Diceros bicornis minor: one gene and its partners. The protein of the gene in region 2 purifies or fractionates together with the protein of the main gene of each other region. This does not show direct contact. Links are inferred from orthologs where the notes say so. Each region holds a gene or a part of one and is shown on either strand. Other genes may lie near its edges. The genes, in order: EEF1G, EEF1A1, EEF2 and TUBB.

Region 1 (7,504 bases), on a different chromosome or scaffold from region 2:
GACTCAGCCCTTGCGTCCCCAGTGGATCCTCAAGCCCTGGCCTGCACCCCAGCCTCCCCTCCAGACTCGCAGCCTCCAACCTCTCCCCAAGATTCAGAAGCCCTGGACTTTGAAATCCCATCTTCCTCCCTGGCACCACGGACTCCGGACTCTGCTTTGGCCTCTGAGACCCTCGCCTCTCCCCAGTCCCTGCCTCCAGCCTCACCACTGCAGGAGGACCGGGGCGAGGCGGACCCGAGGAAGGCTCTGGAACGAACGGAGGCCCTGAACGGGGAGAAAACAGAGGGCGTAGCCATGCTGGAGCTGGTGGGATCCATTCTTCGGGGCTGTGTCCCTGGAGTGTACCGAGTCCAAACAGTGCCCTCTGCCCGACGTCCTGTGGTCAAGTTCTGCCATCGGCCTTCAGGTCTCCACGGTGACGTCTCCCTCAGTAACCGGTACCTTTGTTTAAGAGGGTGGTTGGGGAAGGCCAGCTGAGCATTCTGGGGTGGCTGAGGAGGGAGCCCTGGTGTGGGACTGTCCTGCATCTCCTGAGCCTCAAGGGTATCCTTGTTTGGTCCCATCCCCCTTTCTGCCACTCATCTCCTTTCTGGCTTCCACGTCAATGTTCGTAAAGTGTGTTTCTTAGAATACTGTTTTTAAGAGATTTAGAAAAGAGTTCCATGGTTGAATATGTTTGGGAAATGCTAAGTTAAATGCACAGGTTTCTTCCTTCCCCCTCCTCCCCTACTGCCTCTTTCCTTCTCTTTCTCCTGTCCTCCCATTCTCCCTCCCTTCCTGTCTTTGTTGCTTTGCATACTAAAGGCTCTGAGCAGCCTTATAATAACATGCTCTGTGAATGTCCGAGACATTCTTAGGATGTAGTGTTTCCCAAACACATTTGGCGTTTTGTACATCCTCTCACAAGACCAGTGTGTCAGCAAACACTTTGGAAACCCTCTTTTGGCCTTATTTCAGCTGGCCCCCAGTGCGCAAGTCTGGAGTGAGAGCTGGGGATGATAGGTCAGAGGGTTCCCAAGTCCTCACACCCTTGTCTCCCTTTGTCCCAGGCTGGCCCTGCATAACTCCCGCTTCCTGAGTCTCTGCTCTGAGCTGGACGGACGAGTACGGCCCCTCGTGTACACCCTCCGCTGCTGGGCTCAGGGTCGAGGGCTGGCAGGTGAGAATGAATCAAGACAGACTTGGGGCTGGGTTGGTGTCAGGGCAAAGGCAGGGATTCAGGGAGAGAAAGACAGGCAGGTACAGGAACCGGGGTTGAGAAAACCGCCAAGGAGGGGATCGGAGGCACCTCTAATCTAACTGGAATTATTGATTATTTACCCAGGGAGTGGCCCCCTTCTCAATAACTACGCCCTGACCTTGCTCGTGATCTATTTCCTTCAGACCAGGGACCCTCCTGTGTTGCCCACTGTGGCCCAGCTCACCCAGAAAGCAGGTACAGCAGCCCAGCCTCCACTTTCGATCTTGTTAGCTTTCTCTCTCTTCTTCACCTCGCTTAGATACACTAAGCTACCCTGGGAATCAGATGTCTCTGCTATCACCCTCGTTTCCATCCCCATTTTCCTGCTTCTGGACTGACTCTCACCTTTTTTACTTTCACAGGTGAGGGTGAACAGGTAGAGGTTGATGGCTGGGACTGTAGCTTCCCCAGGGATGCCTCGAGACTGGAGCCCAGCACCAATAAGGAGCCCCTGAGTGAGTCTGGGGAGCCTGGTAGAGGACTAATAAATGATGTTAATCACAATAGTAGGAAACATACCTCCCACAGTTACTGTGTGCCAGGCATGGCTCTCACAGCAACCTCGTGTGAGAGCTAATATTATTGCCATTTGACGGATGAAGAAACCATGCCTTGGAGTAATTAAGTGGCTTGCCCAAGGTTACACTGTTAGCAAGGGGAAGGAGCAGCATCTGGGGCAGGACGTGGCTGGGGGCACAGGGAGAGAGGCTTGACCTCTTGTGTGTAGGGATCAGAGGAGCCTGGCTTCTGGGCACTCTTCTGAGCCCCTTGGAAGGGAAAAAGAAAGTCCTGCTGAGGGAGTGGCTCTGCTGCAGGGCTTATCTCAGCTGTGGCCCTTTTCCCTGGTTTTCCTCTTGCTCCAGGTTCCCTGCTAGCCCAGTTCTTCTCCTGCGTCTCTTGCTGGGATCTTCGTGGCTCACTGCTGTCCCTGCGGGAGGGTCAGGCACTGCCTGTGGCAGGGGGCCTGCCCTCTAATCTCTGGGAGGGTCTGCGCCTTGGCCCCATGAATCTCCAGGACCCCTTTGACCTGAGCCACAATGTGGCAGCCAATGTGACCAGCCGGGTGGCCGGGCGGCTACAGAACTGCTGCCGAGCAGCAGCCAATTATTGCCGAAGCCTCCAGTACCAGCGCCGTTCCTCCCGGGGTCGGGACTGGGGGCTGCTCCCCCTCCTGCAGCCCAGTTCCCCTAGTGCCCTGCTGTCTGCAACACCCATCCCCTTACCTGCTGCTCCCTTCACCCAGCTCACTGCTGCCCTGGTCCAGGTGTTAAGAGAAGCATTGGGGTGCCATATAGAACAGGGAACCAAGAGACTGCGGTCAGAGGGAGGTGGAACTGGGGAGTCTCCCCAGGGAGGGACAAGCAAAAGATTGAAACTAGATGGAGAGGAAAAAAGCTGTGAGGAGGGGAAGAAGGAGCAGCAGGAATGTGCAGGGGACCACCGCGAAGATGGGGTGGAAGAAATGGTTGTAGAGGTTGGCGAGACGGTGCAGGACTGGGCCATGCGGAGCCCTGGGCAGCCAGGGGAGCTGCTCCTGACAAGCAAGCATCTAGCCACGGGAGAAGAGGGGCAGTCAAGCCATGTAGCGCTGGCAGAGCAGGGGCCCCAAGGACCTGAGGTGGCCCGAGAAGGGTCCCAAGGTGAGACAGGGAAGGGGGTGTTGCTCTCCTCAGTGAGCTGGCGCTGTGCCTTGTGGCACCGAGTGTGGCAGGGGCGGCGGCGTGCCCGGAGACGCTTGCAGCAGCAAACCAAGGAAGGAGGTGGAGGTGGCGCTGGCACAGGAGCAGAGTGGCTGGCGACTGAGGCTCGGGTGACCCAGGAGCTGAGAGGACTGAGCAGTGCTGAACAGAGGCCAGAGGCTGAGCCGCTTCTGACCTTTGTGGCGGCTGCCTCCCAGGCTGACCACACTCTCACCGTGACTCCACTCCGGGATGCCCAAGGCCTGTTCCCTGATCTCCATCATTTCTTACAGGTTTTCCTCCCTCAAGCACTTAGAAATCTCCTAAAGTGAAGACAGGGCCCTAAAGGGCAATAAAGCTGCTAGTTTAATAAACACTACAGTTGCCTCTAATTTCTACCCGGTAATAACCCTCTTCCCACCCAGTACTTCCCCTCCCCAGAAGTAATGCAACCTTCTCAGAGGTGCCTTCTCTGGCCAGTACAGCAGGTCTCGCCCTGCTCCTCCACCTCAGCAGCCCATTTCTGTCCTGCGTACCATTTATCACAACTGCAGGGAGTGCCTAGGACCGTGTGAGTCAGGCTCCTGGAGCCCACTCAGTTCTGGAACTGTGGTGTACTGGGTGGGTGGGTTGAGTAGCACCTGTGAGAGGAACCAAGTCTGCCTCCACACTGACCTTACTTCCCAGATTTATGAATGGTGACAGGGCCTGAAATTTGGGTTCAGGGGCTTCATTCTCTCACTTAACAGGAGAATTCATCCTGTTCTTAAATTGGAGAAAAGATTTTCAAACCTGAACATGGGTAAAGGGCAACCCATCAGAATCTGTCTTAAATTGTCAGCCTCCCCCCAGGGTGACAGGTGGAAGGGATGCGGCTGGGCTCTCCCTTGGGCCCCTCCCTCCTCTGCCGCAGGCTCCAGGACTAGCGCCGCTTCTTCTCGAAGTAGTAACAGCGAGGCGCTGCAAGGTGGCTTATGGGAGAAAACCCCACTTTTACAGAGGGTTTCAGACTTGGGCTCCGGTTAGATACACGTCCTCTGCGCTAGAAAACCACAGCGGGAACAAAAGGAATTTGGCGAGCCGCCACCTCCGCAGGAGTTGTTTCTGCTCCAGCGAGTGTCACACAATCATGGTGTTAGGGGCTTGGCAGGACGTGCCATCAAGTCACTCGTCCCTAGGCATCACACTGCGGGCCCGGCAGGCCGCAAGAGAACGCCTCCTCGGGGACCGGCGCCGCACAGGGCTGGCAGCTGTGCCACGTAGCCGCCAAAGGGCGCCTTGCCAGCTACTTCTCACAGTTTCCCCTCCCTCCGCGCCCTCTATCTCCACCTCGGGACTCCGATTGGCCGTATCTGAGGGGCGGGCCAGCCAGGAGCCCCACTGCGCAGGCGCGAGCCGTTTCCGCGCAGGCCAGCAGGCCCCGCCCCTTCTTTTTCTAAGCCTGTCGCCGCGGAATACCGAACTGTCGTGCGTGTGCCTTCTATGCCGTCCTCGCTTTCCGGCTGCTGTCTCTCCGCGGCTCTCCCTTCCCCCCTCCCTTCCCTCCCTGACGGCTTACTTTGCGGCAGCGCCGAGATCCCCACCCCCTTTCTCTGCGGAATCACCATGGCGGCTGGGGTAAGTTTGCCGGCTCTAGCGATCCAGTCACCCTATCCGACGCCATCCTCTGCCCGAGTGGGGCCAGCCGGCGTCAGAGGAGTTCTGGAGCCGAATGGGGGGCTGACCCAGGATCTAGAGACCGTACTCTTGGAGAGCAGGGCTTCCAAGGCTCCGGAGGGGAACTGAGGCTGGGGCTTTCGGAGGCCAAAGAGGTGGAAGGGTCTGGGGCAGAGGAGAAAAAACATGCCGGATCCTGACCGTCTGGGGCCAGAGCAAGGGGTGCGGGTTCATTGCCGCCTCGAGACGTGGGATCCGGGCAGGTTGACAGAACTTTTGCGACCGTTTTGTGGGACAACAGCAGGGACGGGGTGAAGAGGAGGGTCTTTGTGGGCTGGCCTCAGTTAAGGGTCATCCATCAGGGGGGTTTGGGAGCGAGAGGAACCTCCGGACGGTGGAGTCAGACCAGTCGGACCCCGCTGGTCAGGTTAATAGAAGGGGAAAAGGCAACACCAGGGAACTCACTGCGGGACGGGACGGGAGTGATGGTGCGCGTGACAGGAAAGAAAGGCTTTTTAGGGAGATCGAGTTGATTTAGGAAGAGGAGATGCCGTTGGAGATCTCCGTGGCTATTTTGGGGGGAATTTGGGAATGTCGTGGTCGGAGTGTGTGTGCCTTGGAGACGAGAGTGATGCTCAGGAAGGAGTGAGCGGCTCAGCAGTAGAGTAGCAGGCACCGGGAAACCATCAATGAATGAAACCAGGGCTCGGGGAAGGGAGGGGCGGATGCTTGGCGGCAGATGGAGTCCTTGGGACCTAGGACTTCTGGATTTCTTGGAGATAGATTTGAGGGGAAGAGAATCCTTCTGGAGATGTCCTTATGGAAGGTCAGATCTGTCAACAAGCTTTATTTAGCAGTTGATGTGTCGTTCTGTCCTCTGGTATTTCGGAGGGCTCTGATTACACATGACAGGTACTAAGGAATTCACTTCACCAGAGGAGTAAAGGAGTGGGTTGAACAGGTTGGGATCACTCAGGGAAGTCATTCTGGGAGGTGACACTTAGGACTGGAACCCTTCTACTCACACTAATATTTCTTTGCCTCCTCTTTCTGGCACAGACCCTGTACACATATCCTGAAAACTGGAGGGCCTTCAAGGCCCTCATTGCCGCTCAGTACAGCGGGGCTCAGATCCGCGTGCTCTCCGCACCACCCCACTTCCACTTTGGCCAAACCAACCGCACCCCTGAGTTTCTCCGTAAATTTCCTGCCGGCAAGGTGAGTAGGGAAGTGGAGAAGGGCCTTGGGTCCTGAGAACCCGAGGAGCCATAAGGTTCTGTCACCTTGAAGATGGCCTCCATCTTTTAAAAGGGAGCTTTCCATGTTATCTTTTTTTTTTTTTCACATTTTGGTGATTTAAAAAAACTTTTGTTTGGAGATAATTGTAGAGTCACATGTAGTTAGAAATAATACAGTGCTATTCAGTGACTTTATAAAATTCACAGGCTTACTTTGTGTTTCTATGAGAGAGAATGAGTTTTGACTGTTTTCAGTGCAAATATACTGAGCAGGATTCTTCCCCCAAGGGGCTTACAGAGATAGATCACTGTGCTAAGAGTAGAAGAGACCAAGTACAGTGTGTAGAGTGCTATAATACTTTGAATAATATAGACAGCAATAGAAGACTTGGCTTCTGGCCTTTTGCTTTATTTGATTGAGGAGTTTTATACAAATGTTTGATGATAGCTAAATCTTTTGGGTTTCTTGTGTGAGTTCAGATTGTAAGGGGTACCAAGTTATTCAAGTATTTTTGGTTCCTGAGTTTCAGATAGTATGATGAGTTTGGTTAGTAAGAGTTGTCAGCCTTATATAAAAACTTGTATCCACAACAGTGCAGTTCCTGGGATTGGCTAGTGAGAGATGACTGTGTTTTTTACTTATCTTTTGTCTGCTTTGTCCCCAGGTTCCAGCATTTGAGGGTGATGATGGATTCTGTGTGTTTGAGAGCAATGCCATTGCTTACTATGGTAATTTGCAGTGGATGTGGAAATGGGAGGGTCTGGAGGTGAGGGGTGTAGGAGAGGGTGCGGGTGAGCCACAGTGGACACGGAGAGGAATTTTCAGGGACCTGGATTGGTGTTGGCATGACTCCAAAGTTTTGACCTTTCTGTTCTGCCTCTGCAGTGAGCAATGAGGAGCTGCGGGGAAGTACTCCAGAGGCAGCAGCCCAGGTGGTCCAGTGGGTGAGCTTTGCTGATAGTGACATAGTGCCCCCAGCCAGTACCTGGGTGTTCCCCACCTTGGGCATCATGCACCACAACAAGCAGGTGAGCCTTGAAACTTGGGGAGAAGCCATGGGCAGGGACTACATCAGCTCCTGAGTGATGGGGACTAAGAAATAGGTTGAGAAAGGTACCAATAGTATCTGGGTAATGAGAAGACCTAATCTTCGGGGTGAAAGTTTGGAGCGCTGGGCTGTTGATGGTATCTGGGTTCTTTGTCAGACCCAGTGGATGTGGTGTCTGTCATGCATGGTCAGAGGAGAGAGCGATTTCTGCTGTAGGAAGGATATACCAAATGGTGGGGGAGTGGTTAGATCAGATGACCTCTAAGATTCCTTCAAGAATCGAAAGATATAGGGCTATGGTTATTACATTGGGAATGAAGCCAGACTGCACCATGAAGAAATTTAACACTGAGAGAGCTCAGTTCGTGATACATTTGGAATGATCCTAGAATCTGACTCCATTGAAGGGGTGGGGAGGGATGGGCTGGGACTCAGTAACTGAAAAGCTACCTTAGTTCCTTTATTGGGGGGGAAAGGGATTATTTTCTCTCTGATCTTGGCAAACTAAAAAATGGTAAATGAGTTTTTCACGAATCTGAGTTTAATTTAAAGGACTGTCTATTCTGAAATTGTTAGGCTTTTTTTGCTGTTGAATGTTCTTTACTTTCTGAATGATAAGTTTGATCCTTTTAAATCAATAGG
Region 2 (7,749 bases):
GGGCAGACTTGGTGACCTTGCCAGCTCCAGCTGCCTTCTTGTCCACTGCTTTGATGACACCCACAGCAACTGTCTGTCTCATGTCACGAACAGCAAAACGGCCTATTAAAACAAATTTTACATTACTATTAGAAACTCTTGGTAAGACAAAGGCAATTATTTTCCATCTTTAGTAAAACTTCCTAAGTGCACTGGTCAGTCAGTCATCCTTACCCAGAGGAGGATAGTCAGAGAAGCTCTCAACACACATGGGCTTGCCAGGAACCATATCAACGATGGCAGCATCACCAGATTTCAAGAATTTTGGGCCATCTTCCAGCTTCTTTCCAGAACGACGATCAATCTTCTCCTTCAGCTCAGCAAACTTGCAAGCAATGTGAGCTGTATGACAATCCAGCACAGGTGCATAGCCAGCACTGATTTGGCCTGGATGGTTCAGGATAATGACCTTGGAGAAAAGATTTGCATTTCAGTGTGTCTCAAAGAGAGTTAAAGTTCTGGCAAGAGATGAGAATGTGTCACTTTAAAGTGTTACCTGAGCTGTGAAGCCAGCTGCTTCCATTGGTGGATCATTTTTGCTGTCACCAGCCACATTGCCACGACGAACATCTTTGACAGACACGTTCTTAACATTGAAGCCCACATTGTCCCCAGGAAGAGCTTCACTCAATGCTTCATGATGCATTTCAACAGACTTCACTTCAGTTGTAACATTGACTGGAGCAAAGGTGACCACCATGCCAGGCTTGAGAACACCAGTCTCCACTCGGCCCACAGGAACAGTACCAATACCTAAAATGTTTACAACACAGTATCATAAACACACCACATACCAAGTAGCAACCCATGCAAATTACACTGACAGTAACGTTTCAACTTACCACCAATTTTGTAGACGTCCTGGAGGGGCAGACGCAAGGGCTTGTCAGTTGGACGAGTTGGTGGCAGGATGCAATCCAGAGCTTCAAGCAGTGTGGTTCCACTGGCATTACCATCTTTACGGGTGACTTTCCATCCCTTGAACCAAGGCATCTGCAACACAACGTCAATTAGTGTTACCATGAAACTTGCCCCTTTCAGAGTTTTTCAACTGCTTTGAAAGCCACTTACGTTAGCACTTGGCTCGAGCATGTTGTCACCATTCCAACCAGAAATTGGCACAAATGCAACTGTGTCGGGGTTGTAGCCAATTTTCTTAATGTAGGTGCTGACTTCCTTAACAATTTCCTCATATCTCTTCTGGCTGTAGGGTGGCTCAGTGGAATCCATTTTGTTAACACCAACGATTAGTTGTTTCACACCCAGTGTGTAAGCCAGAAGGGCATGCTCACGGGTCTGCCCGTTCTTGGAGATACCTGCTTCAAATTCACCAACACCAGCAGCAACAATCAGGACAGCACAGTCAGCCTTTTAAAGAAAACAAGGCCATACCTTGTTAAAGCTCTTCAAAAGGAAGACAACACCATGTTTTCAATGTATAAGACAAACCAAGAGTTACTGCCGATAGTTATTAAAACTACAAACCTGAGATGTGCCTGTAATCATGTTTTTGATAAAGTCTCTGTGTCCCGGGGCATCAATGATGGTCACATAATACTTGCTGGTCTCAAACTTCCACAGGGAGATATCAATGGTGATACCACGCTCACGTTCAGCTTTCAGTTTATCCAAGACCCAGGCATACTTGAAGGAGCCCTTTCCCATCTGTTAGGGTTGGATTAAAAATGGTTACTTGCTAACTAAGACACGATCAAATGCCAGCTTGAAATTCCTTACCGCACTTATCTAGCTAGAAATGCTCGATTCCTCTTCACAATGGCTAAATCTAAGTGGCTTTCCCTTATTCTCAAAACATGGTTACAAAACTGACTCAACAGCAAACATTAGGTTATACCGTTTTTATCCAGTGTGACGTAAATATCTAGGCTAGTGACAATAATTTTTCAAAATCTTCATTTAACGTCTTCAGCAGTAGACTTCTCATTCACCTGTTAGTGATACCTACCTCCGCAGCCTCCTTCTCGAATTTTTCGATGGTTCTTTTGTCGATCCCACCACATTTGTAGATCAGATGGCCAGTAGTAGTCGACTTGCCCGAGTCCACGTGTCCAATGACCACGATGTTGATATGAGTCTTTTCCTTTCCCATTGTGGCTTAGATTCAGCGGTGGTTTTCACGACACCTAAATTGAAAGAAAAAATAAACTTTAAGTCACCGTCCCAAAGGCTTGAAAAAAGCTACGATCCAAACTCAAAAGGGCAAACTCCAAGTTGCATTACAGCAGCGCCCCACTGGCCCCGCTCTCGCCTCCAGCCCCGGCGGAGCCGACCACGCCGCCCCTCCCCCCGGCCGAGGACCGCGGGGGCGGCGGCCGGGAGCCGGGGCACGGCGCCGGCCCTTTGTGTGGTGACTCACGCCCGCCGGGCCCGCGTCCTCCATTTTGAGCGCCGCCAGGGCCTGAGCGGCCATCTTTCCGCGCACGCAACTGGTGCCGCGCAGCCGGCGCGCCCCGCCGCACCCGGGCTCCCTCCGCCCCCGCCCGCGCCCGCACGAGCGGCCCCGCCCTCCGCGCCTCGCGGCGGCCCGCGCCCGGCAACCCGACGACGCGGACGAGCCCACACGGCGGGATCCGGCCCGGCCTCGGCCACTCCACCCGCGGGGGACACCGTGGTGTCTTCTCAACTTCAAGCGGCCGGGGACCTCACCCGAGGGCAGCAGGGGCCCCGCACGCGGCGGGCGCTGCGCCCGAGCCAGGCCTCAACCCCAGCACGAGGCGCAGGGCCTTCCGGAAAAGCCCAGGCCGCGAACCGCACCACGTCCAGCCCCAAGTTCGAGGTCAGGAGCCGCGTGAGGGGGCTCCGCGGAACGGCGGCCGAGAGGCACGCGAGGCCGGGGCCCGCCGCGCAGGCCCGGCCCGGAGGCCACACTCGCGCTCACCTGTGTTCTGGCGGCAAACCCGTTGCGAAAAAGAACGTTCAGGCTGACCACGGCGCTTATATACGGTCTTCCCCCCCTCGGAAAAGGGGGCGGGGCCAGCACACGACGCGCTTTCCCAGCTCTCCCCGCGCCGCCGCCCAGTGCACTCGCAGCCCCTCCCCCACTCTCGGGGACCGTGCGCCATGTGCGCTCAACCCGCTGAAGAGCACACCTCGCTTCGCGCATGCTCCTCTCGACCCCGATGACGACGAGAGCCACCGGGAGGACCGGGACGCACGCGCCCTCAGTTCTAGGTTAGTGGGAGTTTAACGACGGTCCCTGGGATTCCCCCAGGCAGAGGCGAGTCCTCTTTTTGTATGAGTTACTCTCAGCACCAGCGCGGGGTGCGGCGGCGAGAAGGCGGCTGGCGGGCACGTCCATAATCTTCCTGTACCATTCCTGGTTTAACTGCAAAGATGGTATCGATATTGGGGTGTCCCTTCATCCCGCAATACACCTACCGTCCTCAGTCCTGCCCTCTCGAGGGTCCGGAACAAGCCCCTCCAGCCGCTTCCTCCGCCCTCCGTGCCCCGCCCGACCTGAGGGGAGTGCAAGGCCCGAGACCCGGGGGCTCCCTGCCCGGTCCGAGAGCCGCCCGCGGTTCAGCTTGGAGGCTGTGAGCCCGACGGATGTGCTCCCGGGCTGGCCTCTTGGCTGGTTCCGTTCAGAGCCAGCTGCTTTTATCGAAGGCCGCATCACATGTTCGCCCGGTGTGGTCTCCACATGCCCAGTGTTTCAGTTCAGAACAGAGTTCATGCCTACAGTTTGCTTTACTTCTAACTCTAGTTTTGTTACAAAAGAGACCCTGAGTGTGTGTGTCTACCCTGGTGGTACATTTTTTTCCACTGTACACTCGATTGCACGCATGAAATACCCAAAAAGAATTTTTCAAATTCAGTCTTGCCACATGATCTCATGTAGAGGCTAAGAGCTACAGCCTCAGCAAGATTATCCTCCGCGTTTTCCTGTCCCCAACACTTGCTGTGAAATCACTGCTTCTCAAAAATGGCCTATCCTATTTAAATAAATGGCTTCATTTTCTGTCCTATTGATTGTAACTGAATTTTAGCATAAATCTAGGGCGAAATCTGATGAGGCCTTTTTGGTTGACAATCAGGGCAGACTGAGAAATACTCCTCTGAAGAAATAAGAACGTGTATTTTTAATGAGCTAATTACAAGAACATTATGTCTTTTCTTCCACGTATAGAACATCTCTGCAACTTCTCGAGGCAATCTATTAAATATTTGAGAAGCTACTAAGTGTCCAGTGCTAAGCGAAGCTCTGTGGCATGTGAAAAAGAAATACTTCTTTTTGGAGAGGAACCCACAATCAAATTGGAAGAGGAAAACAAACATAAAACAATTGGGAAGCAGTTAAAGACAAACTTGTATGCTGCTTACTACTTCATTGTAGAATATAGTTCTTTCAGTTCTCACAATCTAAATGCCTTTTTTTCTTTTTAAATGAAAGAAGCCTTCTAGAATAGCCTTCCTTTATCTTTTTTTTTTTAACCATTCCTTGTACATATAAACTTCTAAAAATCAGGTTTTTCCATTTCTTCATTAGGTTTCTATCCTTCTCATTTGAACTTGGAGATAGTTTTCATGAAAGAAACGAGGCCATATAAAGTTTCCCTAGAAATACATATAACTAATATTTTTCTAGCAACAAAAGCCTTTTCTATGTCTATATTTCTAATTTCTCTCTTCTCACAAATTCTTCTTTCACATTGCATTTTCCTAGTGCCCTTACCCAGTTATATACATGTAGAATAAAATTATCTTGATATGCTAGTCCATGTGTGTAATAAGATAAAGATGTAAGAAGTAACAGTGAAAATCAACTCCTAGCAATAGACCAATGCAAATACCTCTGCTCTTATTTCCTTGGAAATATTAATTACTGTTCTCTTTGGAACTAGATTCCCACATAAGCCATATTTGTATATCACAGAAATATAAACTGCACACTGTGTTATTTCAGATTAAGATCAAAGTGCCAGATTTATTATTTTTCATGCCTTCTAATAGGAATGGCAAAATTTTAAAAATGTAAAGAAATGGTTATTTAGTGACACGAGGGAAGGAAGCAAAGACTAAAGAAGACTACAAGTTGAATATTTGAAAGTTTTACATGGAATCCAGAATTGTAGTTAATATCTAAGGAAAAAAAGTCAAAATGAAAGTGGATGTTGGTAAGAGGGAAAAGTATCAAAGATAATTTCAGTTCAGTAAAATAAAAGTGAAAAAAGTGATCTCTGTGAAATATGCACAATTCATTAAAATGTGACAGTGCAAACTCAAGTACTTTTATATAATACTAAAATTGTGATAATTGGAGAGATAATGCTTTCAGGTGAATTATTCTGTTTGAAAAGATAGACCTACTATAATTTAAATAGTAATCTTTGTAGATGTGTGTGTATATTCAGCACTATGTCGGACACGGGAATTCTTTAAGAGATGACCACAAACATTTCCACAGGAGCTTATAAAAACTACAGGTCCTGATTCAGATGTCACCTTTTCATTTTCCTAGTTGCACCTTGACTGCTTTGGATGGTGAAAAAAAGAAATCCAACATTCCAAGTATAATTAAAGTAATGAAATGATCCGAAAGTGTTCCAGGAACAAATAATGGCAGCTGAATTTTCATTATTATGCCCAGAAAGAAAGGAAAATTGAAGAAGTTTGACTCCAAAGCTATCCCAGATTATAGGCAAGTTTTCCGCAAGGCCCGGTGATTGCAGGTGAGAGTATACACTTTATAAACACCTTCTAGAGAATTCTTTAACACAGCACCTAAGGAAGAGCAAAGTTATACATAGTCTTTGATTTTTGTGTAAGTAACCTACCGGGCACCACTGACTGGTGCGAGGGCCGCCGAGACTTGGGCGGGGGCGGGGGGGCGTGTCTGGAGCCATATTGTGAGTAAGGGTTGGACACGGGTCACAGCCTCTTCTCAGGGCCCGGCCCCCACTTCTGCTCTCGGCCGGGGCCGGGGCCGGAACCAGGCGGCGGCGGGGGCGGCGCTGCTGTCGGGCGCCCCGCGCCGCGCCCACACCTGCGCCCCGGCCGCCGCGCCCCCGCCGCCCCCCGGAGGTCCCTCTGGGCGGTCCTCTGACTGCGGAAGGAAGCGCCGGGGAGGAGACAGAAAACCCCGCGTGGCTGGGGGGGTCGGTTTCGTCACCGCGGCGTAGCCTCTAAAACACTGAAGCAGATGTTATTTTCTTTTTAAAAAGTCCCTTTCCCCAGGCCCTATGTGTTAAACATAATCGTAGCGCATTTTGTCCGACTTGACAGCAGATACATTATGCCTTTTACTAACTTACATGTTAAAACGCAACGGTAACATTGTTGAGACTTGTAAATGTGTTTTGGGGTCATAATCTAAGGTCATATTTTGCTTAAGATTTTCCTTAAAGTTGCTCATACTATTTAGAGTAGCAAACTCTAAAAAAGGATTTTAGTTATTAACTTAGTAAAAGGGCGAACAGTAATAGTTCTTTGATGTTTCTAATTGTGATTCACCAAGCATCTTTCGGTATTGGCTAATCACTCTGCTATTGGGCTTACTTTAAAGCAGCTTTAGGTAATTACGTTTTGCTGTGGCTTGCCACCTTCCTGTTGCCTGTGCCAATTGAAAATGATCATTTAAAAGGTATTTTTTTTCTTTTTTTGTGTTTGAGGAAGATCAGCCCTGAGCTAACATCCGATGCCAATCCTCCTCTTTTTTTGCTGAGGAAGATTGGCCGTGAGCTAACATCTGTGCCTATCTTCCTCTACTTTATATGGGACGCTGCCACAGCATGGCATGACAAGCGGTGCATAGGTGCGCGCCCAGGATCCGAACCTGCGAACCCCGGGCCACTGAAGCAGAGTGCTCGCACTTAACCGCTTGCACCACTGGGCCAGCCCCGTAAAGGGTATTTTAAAATATAATTAAGCCAAGGAATTATTTGGACTGAGAATCCAAGCATAATGTTACTTCGCTGTGCCAAGCACTGTTCTAATATTTGCAATATTTAATGTAATCCCACTGTTTACTGATGGAGAACCTGTAGGCAACTGATAATTTATGCGTAATAAGCAAATACAGACATACGTTCTTTTTTAAAGTTTCACTTTTTTGCACAAAATGGTAAAGTACTACATATCACTTTGCTTTTTTCATTTAATATATCTTGGAGATCTTTTCTTTTGAGTACGTTAAAGCCCAGCCGGGCAGCATTGGAACCCAGGTAATCTGACAGGAAAGTTAGTCTTAACTTGTACCAGCGGGTCTAGGCAGCCTGCTCGAGTGAAAATGGCGGTGGGGTTGGAGTCAGAAAGTTGGGACTCAGTGCTTGCTCTTCTGCTTCCAGGTCTGTGACAGCCAGCAGGGCATCTGTGGCATGGGTCTGCTCCTTACTCACACTTAGCACCTGCCTCACAGTTCTAATGTGCAATGATGTGAAAAGATATGGGGACACTCAATTATCTAGTTTTGTTTTTTTAAATTAATTAATTTATTTTCTTTTCTTTTTTTTGGTGAGGAAGATTGGCCCTGAGCTAGCATCCATGCCCATCTTCCTCTATTTGATATGTGGGACGCCGTCACAACATGGCAGATGAGTGGCGTAGGTCTGTGCCCGGCATCTGAAACCAAGAACCCGGGCCACTGAAGCAGAGCATGCCAAACTTAACCACTACACCACTGAGCTGGCCCCTCAGTTATCTAGTTAAAACCGAATTTCTACAGGCTTTCTGAAGAACGCCTGGCCTCAATTG
Region 3 (7,940 bases), on a different chromosome or scaffold from region 2:
GGCCCCACAAGCCCTAAACAGATGCTGTGCCACCTCCCTGAAAGGCCAAGTGCTACGTGAAGTCCTTTTCATAAACACTCCATCCCCTGCCGTCACCCCATGTCCCCGGCAAACCCACCTCCAGCTCTGAAAAGCCCCCGTGGAAGGTCGCAGCCCACCCAGCAGACGCAGGAGGTGCCAGAACAGCAGCGGAGACGGGGCAAGCTGGCTGGGCGACCGACCTACCATGATGTTGCCCATGGGGCCGCTCTCGCCCTCGCCGTAGGTGGAGATGATGACGTTCACGTTCTCCACGATGCGCTGGAAGGTCTGGTAGAGCTCCTCGGGCTCCAGCTGCAGCTCGAGCAGCGCCCGGTCCATCTTGTTCATCATCAGCACCGGCTTGATGCGCTCGGCGATGGCCTGCCGCAGCACCGTCTCCGTCTGCACGCACACGCCTGGCGGGACGGGTGGCTGTCAGCCAGGGTGGGGACAGCCCAGGGCCCGGGCGCGCGGGGGGCCCGCTGCTTACCTGACACGCAGTCCACCACCACCAACGCCCCGTCGGTGACGCGCAGGGCGGCTGTCACCTCCGAGGAGAAGTCCACGTGCCCGGGGGAGTCAATGAGGTTGATGAGGAAGCCAGAGCCATCCTTGCTCTGCTTGATGAAGTTCAGGTCGTTCTCCGAGAGCTCGTAGAAGAGGGAAATGGCCCTGAGGAGAGCGCACAGTTTAGCTGGGGGGAAGCCACAGCTCAGCTTGGTTAACTACCCTTCCTAGGACCCCTGGGGTCGGCCGAGTTCCTGACCCAGGGGAGTCAGGATGGGGGCTTTTCACCCCTCAGGGAGGCTGAGACCCAGCGAAGAGTCAGGCCCGCAGCCCGGAGCAGACCTGCAACCCAGTCCCTCCCCCTGCGTTAATTACTCACCCCGGAGACAGACCTCAGACTGCCCACACAGCAGCCAGCCCACCCAGAGGACTCTGCCCAGGCAGCACCCTCTGCCAGGGACGCCCCCTCCCTGCTACCGGCCACAGAGGCCGGCTCCCCCGAGCCCACCTACCGAGCCTCCGCCCTGATCCCTCCCAGGTTCACACCTCTGATTCCAAAAGTTAACTACGTCATCAGGTGAGGTGAGACCACAAACCTGAGACCATCCTTCACCAACCCAGCCCTCCCCAGTTCCTCTCCCTCCAGCCCAGGTGAAACGACTCAGACCAGAAAACCCAGAAGAACCTCACGACTTAACCACCAAAGGTAACTGACAATTACAGTCACTGCTTTGGGTTCTCGCCCTACTGACACCTGGACCCAGGACACTTCCGCAAAGGATGCTCAGCATCTTTACGGCCCAGTGGCTTCCTCCCAGACCTCTCCAGACACTGCCACCGGTCCCTTGGCCCCGGGAAGAGGAACCACCGGTGAAACCCCTTCCTCTCCAAGGCCCCCACCCCCCAATATTCCCCATCACTGCGCCTCCACTAGCCTCACAGCTTCCTGACTCCCATTAGGCTGAACTGCACCCTCCCTCACAGCTCAAAACGCCAGCCCCCGGGTGCCTGACTCATCCTCTCCCAAGAGGCTCCCCGGAGAGCGACGGTGTCTGCTGTGTGTCTCCCCACCCCCGGGGACCGCTCCAGCCTCCCCACAGCCACCTCCCCTCCTCCCTCCCCAGTCCAGAGGACGCCGGGCTTGCTCACGTCGACTTGATGGTGATGCACCGCTCCTGCTCGTCCTTCCGGGTGTCCGTGAAGCGGGTCTCCCCGGCGCGGGCGGAGGCGATGATGCCCGCCTTGCACACCAGGGAGTCGGTCAGCGTGGACTTGCCGTGGTCCACGTGGGCGATGACGGACATGTTCCGGATGTTGGCCTTCTTGTCCATGATGGCCCGGATCTGGTCGACGGTGAAGTTCACCTGCGCCAGGGGGGAGGGGAGGCTCAGGCCGGCCCTGTGTCCAGGAACCAGGCTTGGCACTGGCGCGGCGATCGATAGGGTATGCCAGGCCCGCGGCCAGGAGTGGGCTGGTCCTGGGGCAGCCCCAACGCCCCCGCCTCTCCGTGACACTCCTTTAATACCACCCGCCCTCATCTCTGAAAGGCCAGGTTCCAGCTGTCACTTAGAAATGACAACTCGGAATAGGGGCTTCCGTGTGACTCTCCAAGAGTGACAACAGATTTCCCTCAGGTGGGGCACCCATATGGCAGGTCACGGGGTCCACTTAAAGGATACGGGAGGGATGAAGCCCCCCAAAACCTCCCCAGGTTTCCCCCAAACACAGGACCTCGTTAGAGTCCAAGGTCACCTCTCTGGCTGGGGTTGAGACAGAGCCACCCACCGCATGAGAGTCCTAAATGTCACCCCCGATCGGGGGGGGGGGGGGGGGGGGGCCTGCGCAGCGCGCACACGCGCAAGCCCCCCTCGTGGCTCCGGGGTCAGCTGTTGACGATCGGGAGGCAAAGGAAGGCCAAGGAGCCAGACCAAGATTAGGAGGAGTCGGGGGGCTTTACAGGGCAGGCTTCCCTCGTTTTGTCACCTCGCCGGCGCCCACGGCCCCCGACAGTAAACCGATCTCAAAATCGCGGCCCGCGGATTACATAAGGCGGCCCCCGGTCTCCCCGCTCGCCCCGCGACGCCGCCATTACAGCGTCTGCCACATCATCACACACCCCGCTCCCCGCCTCCGCCTCCGCTCCAGCCGGGCCGGGGGTCCCGCGAGGCGGCGGCGTCCCCGGAAGCGGAGAAGGGGCTCGGCGGGCAGCGCGGCGCGCAGACATGGCGGCGGCCGCTTCCCCAGCCCCGGGCCCGCCGGCCCCGCCGCCGCCGCCATGTCTTCTCTCGAGCCGGGCGGCCCCAGCGCTCCAGGCTCGGCAGCGCCGAACCCCGCGGAGGCCCCGCCGCCGTCCCAGGCCGCCAGCCGGGCGGCGTCGCTCACCATGGTGGCGGATGGCGGAGGATTCTCCCAGGCAGATCCGAGCGAAGCGAGCCGCGCCGACGATGGCGGCGACGACGGCGGAAGAGAACGCTGACGTCAACACCCCGCCTTTTTATAGGCCGACGCCGGTTGGGCGGATCATCTGACCGCGCTGCGGGGGCGGGGCGAAGCGACGCCGCGCGCAGGCGCAGGGACGTGGTTCTCGGGTTAACCCCTTGGGCGCCGGCGTGGATGCTCTAGGATCCGCGTTCCCCGCCTGGGTTTGCTCGGGGCGGTGGTCTGCCCCGAGGTGGGTACACGCCTCGGGGACTCAGGGGCACAAAGCGAAGAGCGCCGTTTTAGCTGAGCATATTCATCAAAGCAACTAGATTAGCTCGCAAAACGCCCAGCACTTCTATTGAAAGCAAATTTCCACGTGAATAGGTTGTGGATTATCCCAGTCTTTTGGTTTTGATATTGTTATGGAACATGATACCATGGGGGGAAGCTGGGGGAAGGGTACTCGGGACTTCTCTGTCCCCTTTTTGCAACTACCTGTCTGTAATGATTTCAAAATAAAAAGCTTTTTAAAAGCAGGTATTAATCATTTACTCCAGAAAGACGGATTGAGCATCGACCATACCAGGCATTGCTATAGGTGTGGATTTAGCAATTAAAAAAGCACCTTGCTAGGCGAGCTCCACCACTTTACGTGTTCTCTGCCTCAGTTTCCCCGTCCGCACAATGTGGATAATCAGTACTCCCTCACTATTTGGGGAGAGAGTTAAATTAACTAAACACACATAAAGGGATTAGCGCCGCGCCTGACACAGTTCTCAATACACCTCAGCTATTTTAATTAGCTATCACTGCTATTAATAAAGCATTTACTTCAGGGCCCGGTTTGCCGTGTCTCGGGCACGGGGCTAAGCGCTTCCTCCCCTGCGCAATCTTTTTCTATTCATTTCGTCTCCAGGGGGAGGCGCAGGAAGACTGTTTTGCATTCGTGTCCTAATCTGACCCTAAGAAACAGTTGTGTTTCCGATCTTTGGCTCGAGGGAGAGAATTGGCATTCAACTCAGCAACCTTTTCCTTTGTAACGGGTCCAGCCCCATGCCTGGTACGTAAGTATTTCTTGCATCAATGAATGATATTCTCATTAGCGCGAGTAAACCCCCTTTGGTAAAGCTTCCTCTAAACTCGCTCTTGTCGAAAGGAAACAGACGACGGGGCTCTTCCTGCGCTGGGAGCAGAGGAGATGCGCGTCTGCGGAAAGCGATGCAAATTCGCGTCTGGACTCTAAAATAAGCCTGTGCGCTCCTCCCTCCCGCAAATGCTTTCGCATGTTGCTTTCTAAAGCTCTGTCACAGCCCTGATTTCCTTTAATCAATGATTGCTATCACCCCCACGTTCCCAGGGGGGAAACTGAGGCAGGGAGGAGCTCCTCAATAAACATCTATGGAATGATCGAGGCTCAGAACGGCAGAGGGAGTGGCAGGCAGCAGATATCGGTTCCCCGGGCTCCATCGGGGGGGGGGGTCTTTAAACACCTACACCTGTGTTCGTGACAAGTTTTATGTTAATTTTACAAGGCAAGCGCATGCGCCGTGTGGAGGACGCGTTTTCAGCAGATGGGTATCCACTTTCCCATTTTTCATAATTTTTTTTTTAAGCTTAAAAGGTGTTTCAGCCCCACGGCAGCAGGGATGGGGCCAGATACTGGCAGAGGACCTCTCCCCACTGCTATCTCCAGACCCACGTTTAGCAGAAGCCTGGGTGGGGGGCTGGGGCTTCAGCAGAGAGCAGAAGCAGCCACAGCCGGGTTCAAGGTCTGCAGTCATAAATACAGGCGAGGGTAAAGGGCGGGGAAGAACCTCGAGAAACAAGTTACCTCTGCAGGGAGGCTCGGCTGCGCATGCGCCCGCCCCCCCCCCCCCGCGGCGCGGGGAGGGCGCGGAAGCGGCGGCAGCGGCCCCTGCTGGCCAGCGGCCACCACTGCAGCCCGTTGGATCTGCCCTTTGATGCTTATGGGGCGCTCATTAGATACCAGCCACCGACTTTTAAATCAATTAATTCAGTTAATCCTCTCCCCCCAACCCCGGGCTTTTGGTGAGCTCGTTTAAGCTGGAGGAAATTGAAGCCCAGAGAAGTTAAGATTTGCCCAAAGTCACACAGCTAATTAGAGCCAAACCAAGCGACTCAAAAGGCATGGTTTAGTGGTAGCATAGACATACAATGGAATATTACTCAGCCTTGAAAAGGAAGGAGATTCTGACACCTGCTCCAATATGGATGGACCTTGAGGACATGACACTCAGTGACATGAGCCAGACACAGAAGGACAGACACTGTGTGGTCCCCTCACAGGAGGCTCCTAGAGGAGTCACATCCACAGAGACAGAAAGTGGATGGTGGGGCCAGGGGCTGGGGGAGGGGACGGGAGTCAGTGTTTCATGGGGACAGAGTCTCAGTTTGGGGAGATGGAAAGTTCTGGAGACGGATGGTGGGGATGGTTGCACAACAATGCGAATGTGCTTCATGCCGCTGAGCTGTGCACTTAAAATGGTTACGATGGTGAATTTTATGTTATGTCTATTTTGCCACAATTTTTTTAAAAAGGCATGGTTTAATCAAAGAGCAATTCTGCCACACTACTATTTCCTAGACGTAGCTCAGATTTGGTTAACCAAAGCAAGACATCTTGAGTTTAAGTTCTGCTTCTGCCCTCACTGGCTGTTTGACCTTGGGTGTGTTACTTAACCTCTCTGAGCCTCTGACTCTGCATGTAAAATACTGAATAACAGAACCTATTTTATTATGGGGCTCTTGTGAGACTTAAAGAAATTGATACCTGGCATACAGTATTCCCTATTTAAGAGTTTGCTCCTGTTACGGGCTGAATTGTGTCCCCTAAAATTCATATATTGAAGTCCCAGTACCCAGGACCTCAGAATGTGACTATATGTGGAGGTAGGGTTTTTAAAGAGGCAGTTAAGTTAAAATGAGGTCATTAGGGTGGGACTCTGGTCATCATGGCTCGTGTCCTAATCCAATAGGACACGAGCAGTATTGGTAAGATGAAGACACAGACAAGCCCAGAGCAAAGATCATGTGGAAACACAGAGAGAAGACCTCCATCCCCCAGCCTCCAGATAAACCAGCCCTGCCGGCACCTTGATCCCAGACTTCTGGCCCCCAGAACCGCAAGACAATCAATGTCTGTTGTTTAAGCCGCCCAGGCTGTGGTATTTGCTGTGGCGGCCCTAGCGGACTAAAACAGCTCCTACAATGGGACAGAAATATTAGATTTTATTGCAACCATTCCTGCTACACGCATTGATTAGTACCTACTACATTCTGGGTCTGGGGTGAGGAGAGTGAGGCGTTAAGAAGGCTCCGAAAAACTCGGTCATCGTGATAATAATATTTAAATACCATTTTTTTTTTTAAATCCCGAAGAATGCCAAAAGTCCCTGAGGAATAGAGCATCCAGATTTGAAATAAAGACAGGACCAGTATTACTGATTTTTGCTTGGTTTCAGGGGCCGATGACTGCAGACAGGTCTTCGTTAGATGGTCCCACTAGATGCCCTGGGCAGTGGAGCAGTGAATTCTCCCACAAATAACGTCAGGAAGCGGTGTCATGGTCCTCTCAAGGATGGTTGAGCAAACGGGATTTAGGGAGATCTGGTGAGGCTGTATCGTCAGAACAGGGGGTCCGGGGAAAAGCTGGTGAGGGTAGTTCGAGGGCTCCCAGCACGCCCTTAGGGACTAGGTTAGAGCCCTGGGCAAACAGTTTTGCATTTCTTTGCTGGTAAACTGCCCCTGGGACCTCCCAGCTGGGGGACTTTCCACCAGGCCCCGCCCCTCCCCGCCTGCAAATAAACCCATCGGCTTTGCAGCCCAGCTCAACCCTTCCGCCTGGAATTCCTCACATCCCTCAGACCCGGTGCTCATTGGTCCAGCAAATGTTTCCGGGAGCCTGTGGAAACACAGAAGCCCTGCCCTCGGGGAGCTGATGGGCTGGTGGAGGAAAGAGTCAATCAAATGTTTGCACAAGTTGAACCTTTCAAATTATGCTAGGAAGGAGAGAGAGAATGAGCGAAGGAAAGGGTAGAACAGGGAGGGCTATGATCCAGCCTGGGGGGTCAGGGAGGGCTGCCCGGAGGAGGTGATTCTTTTTTTTTTTTTTTTGTGAGGAGATCAGGCCTATGCTAACATCTGCCAATTCTCTTTTTTTGCTGAGGAAGACTGGCCCTGGGCTAACATCCACGCCCATCTTCCTCCACTTTATATGGGATGCCGTCACAGCATGGCTTGACAAGCAGTGCGTCGGTGCGCGCCCGGGATCCGAACCAGCGAACCCTGGGCCGCCGCAGTGGAGCACGCGCACTTAACCACTTGCACCACCGGGCCGGCCCCAGGAGGTAATTCTTAAACTATTACCTGAGAGATGAGAATGCATCCAAGGAGCAAAAGTGAAGGAGGCATTCCAGGGAGAGGGAACAGCAAGTGCAAGGGTCCTGGGGTGGGAGACACAGTGAAGAAACAATGCAGTGTGGCTCTCTGTACCACTACCTGTAACACAGGGAGGGAGTGTAAAAAAAAGAAGAGGGAGCTCTTTAGATGGATGGGCCAGGACAAAAGTCAGCTAACTTTTTAAAGGGCCAAGTAGAAAATATTTCCGCTTTTCAGGCCACACAGTTTCAATCACAGCTCCTCAACTCTGCCTTTATAGCACCAAGCAGCCACAGACACACATAAATAGGCGTAGTTGTGTTCCAATAAAACTTTATTTACTTACGGACGCTAACATTTGAATTTCATACAATTTTCATGTACACGAACAATGATGCTTCTTTTGATGTTTTTTCCCCAACCACTTAAAAAATGTAAAGATCATTCTTAGAACAACGATGCTTCTTTTGATTTGTTTTTTTTCTGCAACCACTTAAAAATGTAAAGACCGTTCTTAGCTCACGGGGCATGCCAAAGCAGGCAGCAGGGCAGATACTGCCCCCAGGCCGTAGTTTGTGACCCCCTTGCTCTAG
Region 4 (7,901 bases), on a different chromosome or scaffold from region 2:
GGCACCATGTTGACTGCCAGCTTGCGGAGGTCAGCATTGAGCTGGCCAGGGAAGCGGAGGCAGGTGGTGACTCCGCTCATGGTGGCTGAGACGAGATGGTTCAGGTCCCCGTAGGTTGGTGTGGTCAGCTTGAGGGTGCGGAAGCAGATGTCATAAAGGGCCTCGTTGTCAATGCAGTAGGTCTCATCGGTGTTCTCTACCAACTGATGGACGGAGAGGGTGGCGTTGTAGGGCTCAACCACAGTGTCAGACACTTTGGGTGAGGGCACCACACTGAAGGTGTTCATGATGCGGTCAGGATACTCTTCTCGGATCTTGCTGATGAGCAAGGTGCCCATTCCAGAGCCTGTGCCCCCGCCCAGCGAGTGGGTCAGCTGGAAGCCCTGCAGGCAGTCACAGCTCTCTGCCTCCTTCCGAACCACGTCCAGGACCGAGTCAACCAGCTCGGCCCCCTCTGTATAGTGGCCCTTGGCCCAGTTGTTGCCTGCCCCGGACTGACCTGGAATGGGGTCAGGAGGCAAGCTTGATTAGTAAAGTGTGGAAGATGCAAGACCGTATTTCCACCTTCCAACTTTTGGAATAATGCCCTTAGATGTATCTTCTGTCTCGCTCACCTGTGATACATGCCCCCCATAATTACCATCTAGGGCACTCCCAACTTCACACTCCATTACAGATTTCAGAACACAGCCCTGAACAAGCTCTCCCATACAACAATCGTCTCCAATCTCTTGCTGTCTCCTTGCACCCAAATAAAGTGAATATGACGGTATCTACTAATGCGTATAACTCACCGAACACAAAGTTGTCTGGTCTGAAGATCTGGCCAAAAGGACCTGAGCGAACAGAGTCCATGGTCCCGGGTTCCAGATCCACCAAGATAGCACGAGGAACATATTTGCCACCTACAGGGAAGAAAGTAGAAGAGTGAAAAGTGGCAGGCAGGAATAAGGTAAACAAATCGGGGCTGGGTTATAAACCAACGTCACCTCAATAAAAATTAAAAAATTAAAAAAAAAAATAAATCGGGGCTGGCAGACAGTCGGGGCCCAAACTTCTGGTTCCAGGCGCTGCCACCAGGTGGCAGCAGAGCCAGTCTTTCGCCAAGATGGTGGGGAATCAAATCAAGTTCTCAAAAACAAAAAGATGCATTCATCCAAAAGGGTAAAGGGGTCTCCAGGGATGAAGAGCAACCCCAGAGAAGTGGGAGAGGAGATGGGACCCGAGCTTCCCGGGCTCCTGCCCTCACCTGTGGCTTCATTGTAGTACACGGAGATGCGGTCGAGCTGCAGATCGCTGTCCCCGTGGTAGGTACCGGTGGGGTCGATGCCATGTTCATCACTGATCACCTCCCAGAACTGTCGGGGGAGAGCAATGAACCCTCAATGGCTCAGGTCCCAACCAATTATGCCTCCTCGCAACCACTGTAATTCCAGACACGCCTGTGGTAGGTCTTGTTCCAGGGCCCGGCATCCCCTCTATCTGCCTGCCCCACCCTTCGCCTAGACACCGCACCCCCGGGAAAGCCGCAGCTTCCACTACTTGGGATGAGATGATGTGCGGCTGGGCGTGCCCGGGGATAGCAGGAACCGGGGTGAGAGGATGGAGGCGGCAGAGTAGACTGGATAAGAGCCCCTCCCCGCCCCCCCCCACGCTGGGCACCGCCCCTCCACGCAGCGCACAAAGAGCCAGGGAGACGCAGAAAGGAGCCGCTGCAGCAGTCGACCACCTCCCGCCCCCCGCCACGTGACTGCGGCGCACGCGCACGCCGAGCAGCCAACAAAGAGGCGCCGAGCGTGGGCGGGGCCGAGGCGCGAATTCCGCGCGCCAGGGGCGGGGCTCGGCTCGGGCTCGCGCGCCCCCGGCCGGCCCTCAGGGCCGCATTGTCCCGGCGCGCCAAGGGGCGCCCGGGCCCCGCCCTTCTGCTACAACGTAGCAGCCGCACTTCCTCCCGCCCCTCCCCCGCTACACTGTAACCGCGCGCAAAAGAAAAAAAAAATCCCCCCTTGGCCTCGAATTTTATTCCTTCGCTTTTCCCCCCTTGCTTTAAATGAGGATCACCTTCCTTTCTCCCATCCTTTAGTCGTAAGGGACCCTTTAAAGAAAACGACCCCCTCCTTTTCTCCCGCCCTCTTTCTCATCTGTTCACTCCCTAAAAGGGTCTCTTTTAAGGGGAAATCAAAGAAAGTAAAATTAATCAAGCACATGTTAGCCTTCCATCCACGAAAAACTACCGGACCGCCCCTCGGGGATCGCGGGCGCGCGGAGAGCCCCGATCTTTTGTGAATGGTAACGCGTAGTGCAACCCAGTGGCCCACCGCGTCCCCCACCTTGGGATCCCAGCTCTCTGCAGCTGCCCGCCCAGCCTCGTCCCTTCCTCCTCCGGCTTAGCCACATAAAGCCCCGCCAAGGGAGATGCACCCGGGGAAAACCTCGCCTCGCTTTGTCTCGGACTGTTTCCGCATGTCCCTCCCTCCCCAGTCTTCAGACCGTTAGGAGATCCTCTTTAAGTAAAAGCTTGCAGAACCTCGGTCTTCCCGCCCCCTAAATCTGAAGGGTGCTTTTAATGGCTTCCCCAAAATGAGCCTGCCAAAAAAAAATCATTCCCCATTTTCTTAAGAGCAAATTCTAGCAACAAATGGGTATTATATATATAAAACTTTTTTTGGCAAAGCTTGGCTAAAGATGAAGAGTGCAAATGTCCTACAACCACTCTTTATCATTTGTCCGGGTTTTTTCCTTCGGAAAAAGAAATATAGTTAAAAGAGGTTTAAAATCCTTACCTTGGCACCGATCTGGTTGCCACATTGACCGGCCTGGATGTGCACGATTTCCCTCATGTTTAAAATTTATTTTAATTCTTTTCCTCGCCTCAAGGTGTGTACGGGGCAAGAAAACGATATGTGGGGTTTTTTTTCTCTGCTGCTGGCCGCAGGCTGGAAGGATGGGACGTGCCCCGGAGGCTGGAGCAGCGAGGTCCGAACGCGGCGGCAGGAAGGTTCTGAGAGGGAGAAAGGAGAGGGGAGGGCGCAGGAGGGAAGGCTGGCAGGGCGGGGCGCGCTTGCGCCGGGGTGGGAAGGCGGGAGAACGCGCTCCGCGCCGCGGTGGGGAGACAAAGCTTCATCGAGGCTGGCCCTGATTAGTCGATGCTGGTCATGTATCAGACGTCCATTGGTCTCTGCGCGAGTGGACGAACGCAGTCAGCTCTGGGAGTTGTAGTCCTCTATTGTTGTCCACGCTGCAAAATGAAGGGACGAATGGGTGGGTACCGGGTTTTTGGTTTTGGACTTTTTTTGTATTTTATGAAAAAATGACCTTGCGTACGATTTCTTTCCTCTATGCCTGAGTTTTTTGTACAAAAAGAGCGTCGTTTTCGGGGATACAGGATTTGGGACCCCTGGAGTGCCAGGCGTTGGAAGGAGTGGGCACGCCCTGAAAGCTCCCCGCGGCGGTAGCTCTTGGGAAGACAGGACTGCTTAGCTCAGCGAAAACTGGGGAGAAATGCGGCACCCTGCTCTGCTATCTAACAGCTGGTCCTTTGGTGACCCAAGGCATGAACTCCAGTAAGCCGCCGCTCCCCCAGATACTCAGGAAGAAGGAGGGGATTGCCCTCCTATTTCTTTGGGAGTTTTCTAATGATAATATTTTGAAAGAGAAACAAAATTGCAACAGGGGCTTTTCAGGATAGAGATGTAATTGTCCGGAGGTTACGTTCAGAGAATAAGTTGAATAGTTTAGAGAAGCTGATATCTGGGATCTGTGAAGCCAGAAGTTTCCTTCCGTGTAGGGGATCTGGGCCTTAGAGCAGCGTTGAAGACACTGTGGTCTTGTCAAACAGAACTATGGGGTGGGATGCCTGATAGAATTTCAGTGTCTTTCCAGCCTTTTTCAGTTCGCTGATTTCACTGACCAGCTGGCTGGCCACTGCAACCTTTCAAGAACCCCAGGATTGAACAAAAGGGGGATAGGGAGGGAGATGGATGGGAGAAAATTGGACGGGCTCAAGTCAGAGCCGCATGTTTCTTCTCAGGCATTAATTCATTTGATAGATACTAAGTGTCCACCAAACCAGGAGCTAGGGATACAAAAACGATTAAAAATTCTCTCCCTGGCCTACCAGGATCTTGCAGTTTCGTGAGAAGTGTATAAACAATGGAGTGTGGTAATACCATAATACAGGACATGTGATATCAAGGTCATCACTGATAATTCACATTGGATTCAACACACATTTCTCAGTCACCTAAATAAAAGAATATCAAGTTGTGTAAGACCCCTCTACCCACTCAAAATAAAATGTTTTATGTTTTAGGGCATGGTCACAATGAAAGTAGTTATTTTGTGGCAGTGGAGAGAGTTCAGAATTTAGAATGAGCGGACGTTTCAATTTCTCTACCTTACATTAGCTGTAGGAACCTAAGCAAGTCATTCACCTTCGCAGAGCTTCAATTCCCTCTGTAAAATCTACTTCTGCCTATTTGATTGCTGTGGTCAGGCTGAAGTGAGATAAAATGCAAAAGGACTTCCTAAATCATACACATGTCAAATTGTTACTATCCTCTTCTGTCTTAGTATGAGATGATGAAATAAATGGTTTTATCATTCTTCTTTAACCCCTTGAAAGACCTCGGTCAGCCTTTAAGATGGTTAGCAAAATAGTTCTTTCTGTTCGCCTAGGGATCTTTGCTTTAGGAAAATGACCTCAAAATGTCTATCAGGGATGTATTCTCAAGGAGGAAATGACATGACTTCTACTAAACAAGCCAAATCAAAAAGAAATGAACTTCCATTGCAATGAGGAGTCCTCAAGCGCCACGCCTACGGGCAGTTCTCCAAACTGCAGCCTCCGGCCACGACTGCAACCCGCAACCCGTTTTCACTTCTCATGAGTCAGCGGACACCATGTCTGGGAGGACTGAGGAAGGGCGCTCTGGCCGCACTAGACGCATCGGGCGACGACTATGGTAAGTCCCTCTATCCGCGCCGGCAACCAGACTCTGTGGTCGCGGTTTGGAAATCTGCGCGGGAAGTGGGCGGTGGGTGGTGAGGCGGTAGTGGGTTGTCCCTCGCAACTGCCCAATCGGAGTGCGCGATTCTGAGCGCGGAGGGCGGCCTCTGCTTACCGCCTCGCACAACGGATCTCAAGCCCCTGAGAGAAGCCGCCCCTTTGAGCGGTGAGGGGGCTGGGCGGGGATGGGGGCGGGGCTATGGATGTGCGTCCGCGTTGGATATTTGATCAATCGGCCTGCCGCAGGACTGTGAAAGACAGCGGCGGGAGCCAATCAGAGAATCGGCTCCCTCCGGGCGCGAGCAGTCGCGCCACCGGCCCGCGGCCGTTACTGGTGGCGCGCGCGGGGACTCAAAGTAGGTGAGTTCTGGGGGGCCTTGCCCACAGCTCCCCGGGTGCCATCTTGGTTCTCCTGGAGGGCGGGAGGGGCGTGCCTTGGGTGCGACTGGGCGGAGGAGATTTGGAAGTTTGCTTCTCGGATTATAATATTCATCTTTACTTGACGCCCCTCCCCGAGTTTAGGTATGAAGACACAGGGAGACGTTAGGCCAGGAGGGAACCCACTGGGATGGGGATCAAAGATGGTGGCCCATTGGATTGGAGCCAAGGGTCATGGGCACCCGCTGAGTTCGCCAGTCTTAATGACGGAGTTGGTACTATCTCCAAGGAGGCGTCCCACTTTCCCTTCCTGTCAACAGTTTCCCTCTAGGGTGGCATCTTGCTAAGTGAGTTCCGTCCCTGCTATTTTGAGTTTTCATCTTTCATTTGTTCTTTCATCAGGAGGGCAGGGTGAATTTTATGTTTCGTTCATGAATATATCCTGAATACTTCGAACGGTACCAGGTGCACAATGACTACTCTTGAAGGAATATGATGGACCCCAGGGGAAAAGACACTTCTGCTGGTCCAGTTCTCGAAGGGATGTGTGAAGGCAGAAAGGGAAAGTAACGGTTACAATATGGTGAGAAGTGTTAGGATAGTTTCAAGTCCTTTCACCATTGTGGAACACGTACGATACACCAGGAACACCAGAAAGCAGGCAAGACTCCAGGAAGGGCTTTGCTAAGGAAGTGACATTTGAACTGAATTGTAAAAGATGGGTAGGAGTTAGACCAGAAAACTAGGAGCAAAGGGCCAAGGAGCTGGATAAGGCATGCAGATGTGGGGGACAACAGGAACAGTGTGTTCAGAGAGTAGGGAGAAGATTCATGTGGTTGAACCATAGGCTTGAGGGGAGGCATACATTGCAGGACATGAAGTTCAGATCATAGAGGGTCTTGCTAAGGAGTTTAGATTTTATGTTATCCTGTGGGCATGGAAAGCCATCAAAGAATATTAAACAGGGGCTGGCCCGGTAGCATAGTGGTTAAGGTGCTCTACTTCGGTGGCCCTGGGTTTGTGGGTTCGGATCCCGGGTGCGGACATACGCACTGCTCATCAAGCCATGCTGTGGCAGGCGTCCCACAAATAAAATAGAGGAAGATTGGCACAGATGTTAGCTCAGGGACCATCTTCCTCAAGCATGAAGAGAAAGATTGGCAACAGATGTTAGCTCAGGGCCAATCTTCCTCACCAAAAAAATATGTGTATGTATTAAACAGGGGAGGGACATGTGGGTGATCTTGGGCATTTTCCTTAACCCATCTATGTTGCAGTTTCTTTATCTGAGAAATAGAAGTTAATAATAACACTTTGTAGGGTTCTTGTGATGATTAAATGAGTCAGTCCATGCAAAGTAACTAGAACAGTGCTTGACACGTAGCAAGCATCTATATATGTCAGCTATTATGATTCTTTGCAGTTAGTCTGATCACACTGAGATGGTCTGGTAAAGGGTAAAAAGCATGGGCTTTGCAGCCAGAAGCACCTTTATTCCTGTCCTTTCCACTTACCTGCTGTTATCTGCAGCAAATTACTTAATATTTTAGCCTTAGATTCCTAAATGCCTGCCTCATATCATTACCATGCCTGACACGTAACACCATGCCTGACAGATAGTTGATGCTTGGCAAAAGTTAGCTCCCTTTAAAATGGTGTATTTCAAACTATGGGTTGCAACCCAATAGTGGATAGTGAAATCAATTTAGTGGGTTGCAAATCAGCATTTGAAAAATAGAGAATAGGGCTGGCCCCGTGGCGTAGCAGGTAAGTGTGCTGGCTCTGCTTCTGGCGGCCCAGGTTCGGATCTCAGGCACACACCAACGCACCGCTTGTCAGGCCATGCTGTGGCGGCGTCCCATATAAAGTGGAGGAAGATAGGCACAGATGTTAGCCCAGGGCCAGTCTTCCTCAGCAAAAACAGGAGGATTGGCATGGATGTTAGCTCAGGGCTGATCTTCCTCACACACAAAAAACAAAAAATTAAAAAAATTAAAAATAGAGAACAGAAAAAAATAGAATGAAGCTATCAGTGTGTTGTATATAGTAAGGCTAGGCAGTTTTTCTCAAAACATTTGTCTGTATAAATAAGCACGTGTGTTTGTATATATTTGGGACCTTATGATATTTATTTCTTATTCTGTATCGTGGTCAAAAATATTTTTTAAATGCTTCAGAAAGATAACCACGGAATGATCGGCGGAAAGAGAAGCATGAACCTCCATAACTATCCAGGTTTACCCCGGTTATCAGTCTTCTCTCTGAGGCTGTGTGTGTGAACCAATAATAGAGATGATGATGTGTTTCCTTCCCAGATTATGGAGGACACTCAGGCTATTGACTGGGAGGCTGAAGAAGAGGAGGAGACAGAGAGACCCAGTGAATCCTTGGGGTGTAACTTGGCGCCCGTAGGGCGACTGCATATCTTCAGTAGTGCCTATGGACCAGAAAAAGGTCAGAGGGTATTGGATGCTGAAGTACTGGTATAGGCCTCTTATTTTTGTAAGGAAGTAGT

What was found.
Region 1: the proteins of EEF1A1 (region 2) and EEF1G purify together in Homo sapiens (affinity purification with mass spectrometry; 5 studies listed by BioGRID and IntAct, counting the BioPlex papers as one, with this or other methods). This does not show direct contact. The link is inferred for Diceros bicornis minor from reciprocal best matches to the Homo sapiens genes EEF1A1 and EEF1G.
Region 3: the proteins of EEF1A1 (region 2) and EEF2 fractionate together in Homo sapiens (co-fractionation; 3 studies listed by BioGRID). This does not show direct contact. The link is inferred for Diceros bicornis minor from reciprocal best matches to the Homo sapiens genes EEF1A1 and EEF2.
Region 4: the proteins of EEF1A1 (region 2) and TUBB fractionate together in Homo sapiens (co-fractionation; 3 studies listed by BioGRID). This does not show direct contact. The link is inferred for Diceros bicornis minor from reciprocal best matches to the Homo sapiens genes EEF1A1 and TUBB.

Annotation. Positions count from the first base shown.
Region 1 is NC_080770.1:10,513,729-10,521,232, forward strand, and holds the start of EEF1G (elongation factor 1-gamma), read left to right. Parts: upstream 1-4,495; 5' UTR 4,496-4,524; coding exon 4,525-4,536; intron 4,537-5,634; coding exon 5,635-5,793; intron 5,794-6,478; coding exon 6,479-6,542; intron 6,543-6,699; coding exon 6,700-6,842; intron 6,843-7,503; coding exon 7,504-7,504. Other genes in the region: TUT1 (speckle targeted PIP5K1A-regulated poly(A) polymerase), read left to right, coding at 1-437, 1,050-1,159, 1,325-1,435, 1,603-1,695, 2,104-3,251. UniProt on the Homo sapiens protein: Probably plays a role in anchoring the complex to other cellular components.
Region 2 is NC_080762.1:56,999,093-57,006,841, reverse strand, and holds the start of EEF1A1 (elongation factor 1-alpha 1), read right to left. Parts: upstream 3,009-7,749; 5' UTR 2,939-3,008; intron 2,184-2,938; 5' UTR 2,150-2,183; coding exon 2,006-2,149; intron 1,705-2,005; coding exon 1,525-1,704; intron 1,408-1,524; coding exon 1,111-1,407; intron 1,033-1,110; coding exon 882-1,032; intron 793-881; coding exon 536-792; intron 449-535; coding exon 214-448; intron 103-213; coding exon 1-102. UniProt on the Homo sapiens protein: Translation elongation factor that catalyzes the GTP-dependent binding of aminoacyl-tRNA (aa-tRNA) to the A-site of ribosomes during the elongation phase of protein synthesis.
Region 3 is NW_026691553.1:3,036,136-3,044,075, forward strand, and holds the start of EEF2 (elongation factor 2), read right to left. Parts: upstream 3,014-7,940; 5' UTR 2,914-3,013; coding exon 2,911-2,913; intron 1,893-2,910; coding exon 1,678-1,892; intron 694-1,677; coding exon 512-693; intron 438-511; coding exon 226-437; intron 1-225. UniProt on the Homo sapiens protein: Catalyzes the GTP-dependent ribosomal translocation step during translation elongation.
Region 4 is NC_080753.1:34,399,964-34,407,864, forward strand, and holds the start of TUBB (tubulin beta chain), read right to left. Parts: upstream 3,002-7,901; 5' UTR 2,841-3,001; coding exon 2,784-2,840; intron 1,359-2,783; coding exon 1,250-1,358; intron 906-1,249; coding exon 795-905; intron 500-794; coding exon 1-499. Other genes in the region: MDC1 (mediator of DNA damage checkpoint protein 1), read left to right, coding at 5,967-5,969, 7,702-7,840. UniProt on the Homo sapiens protein: Tubulin is the major constituent of microtubules, a cylinder consisting of laterally associated linear protofilaments composed of alpha- and beta-tubulin heterodimers.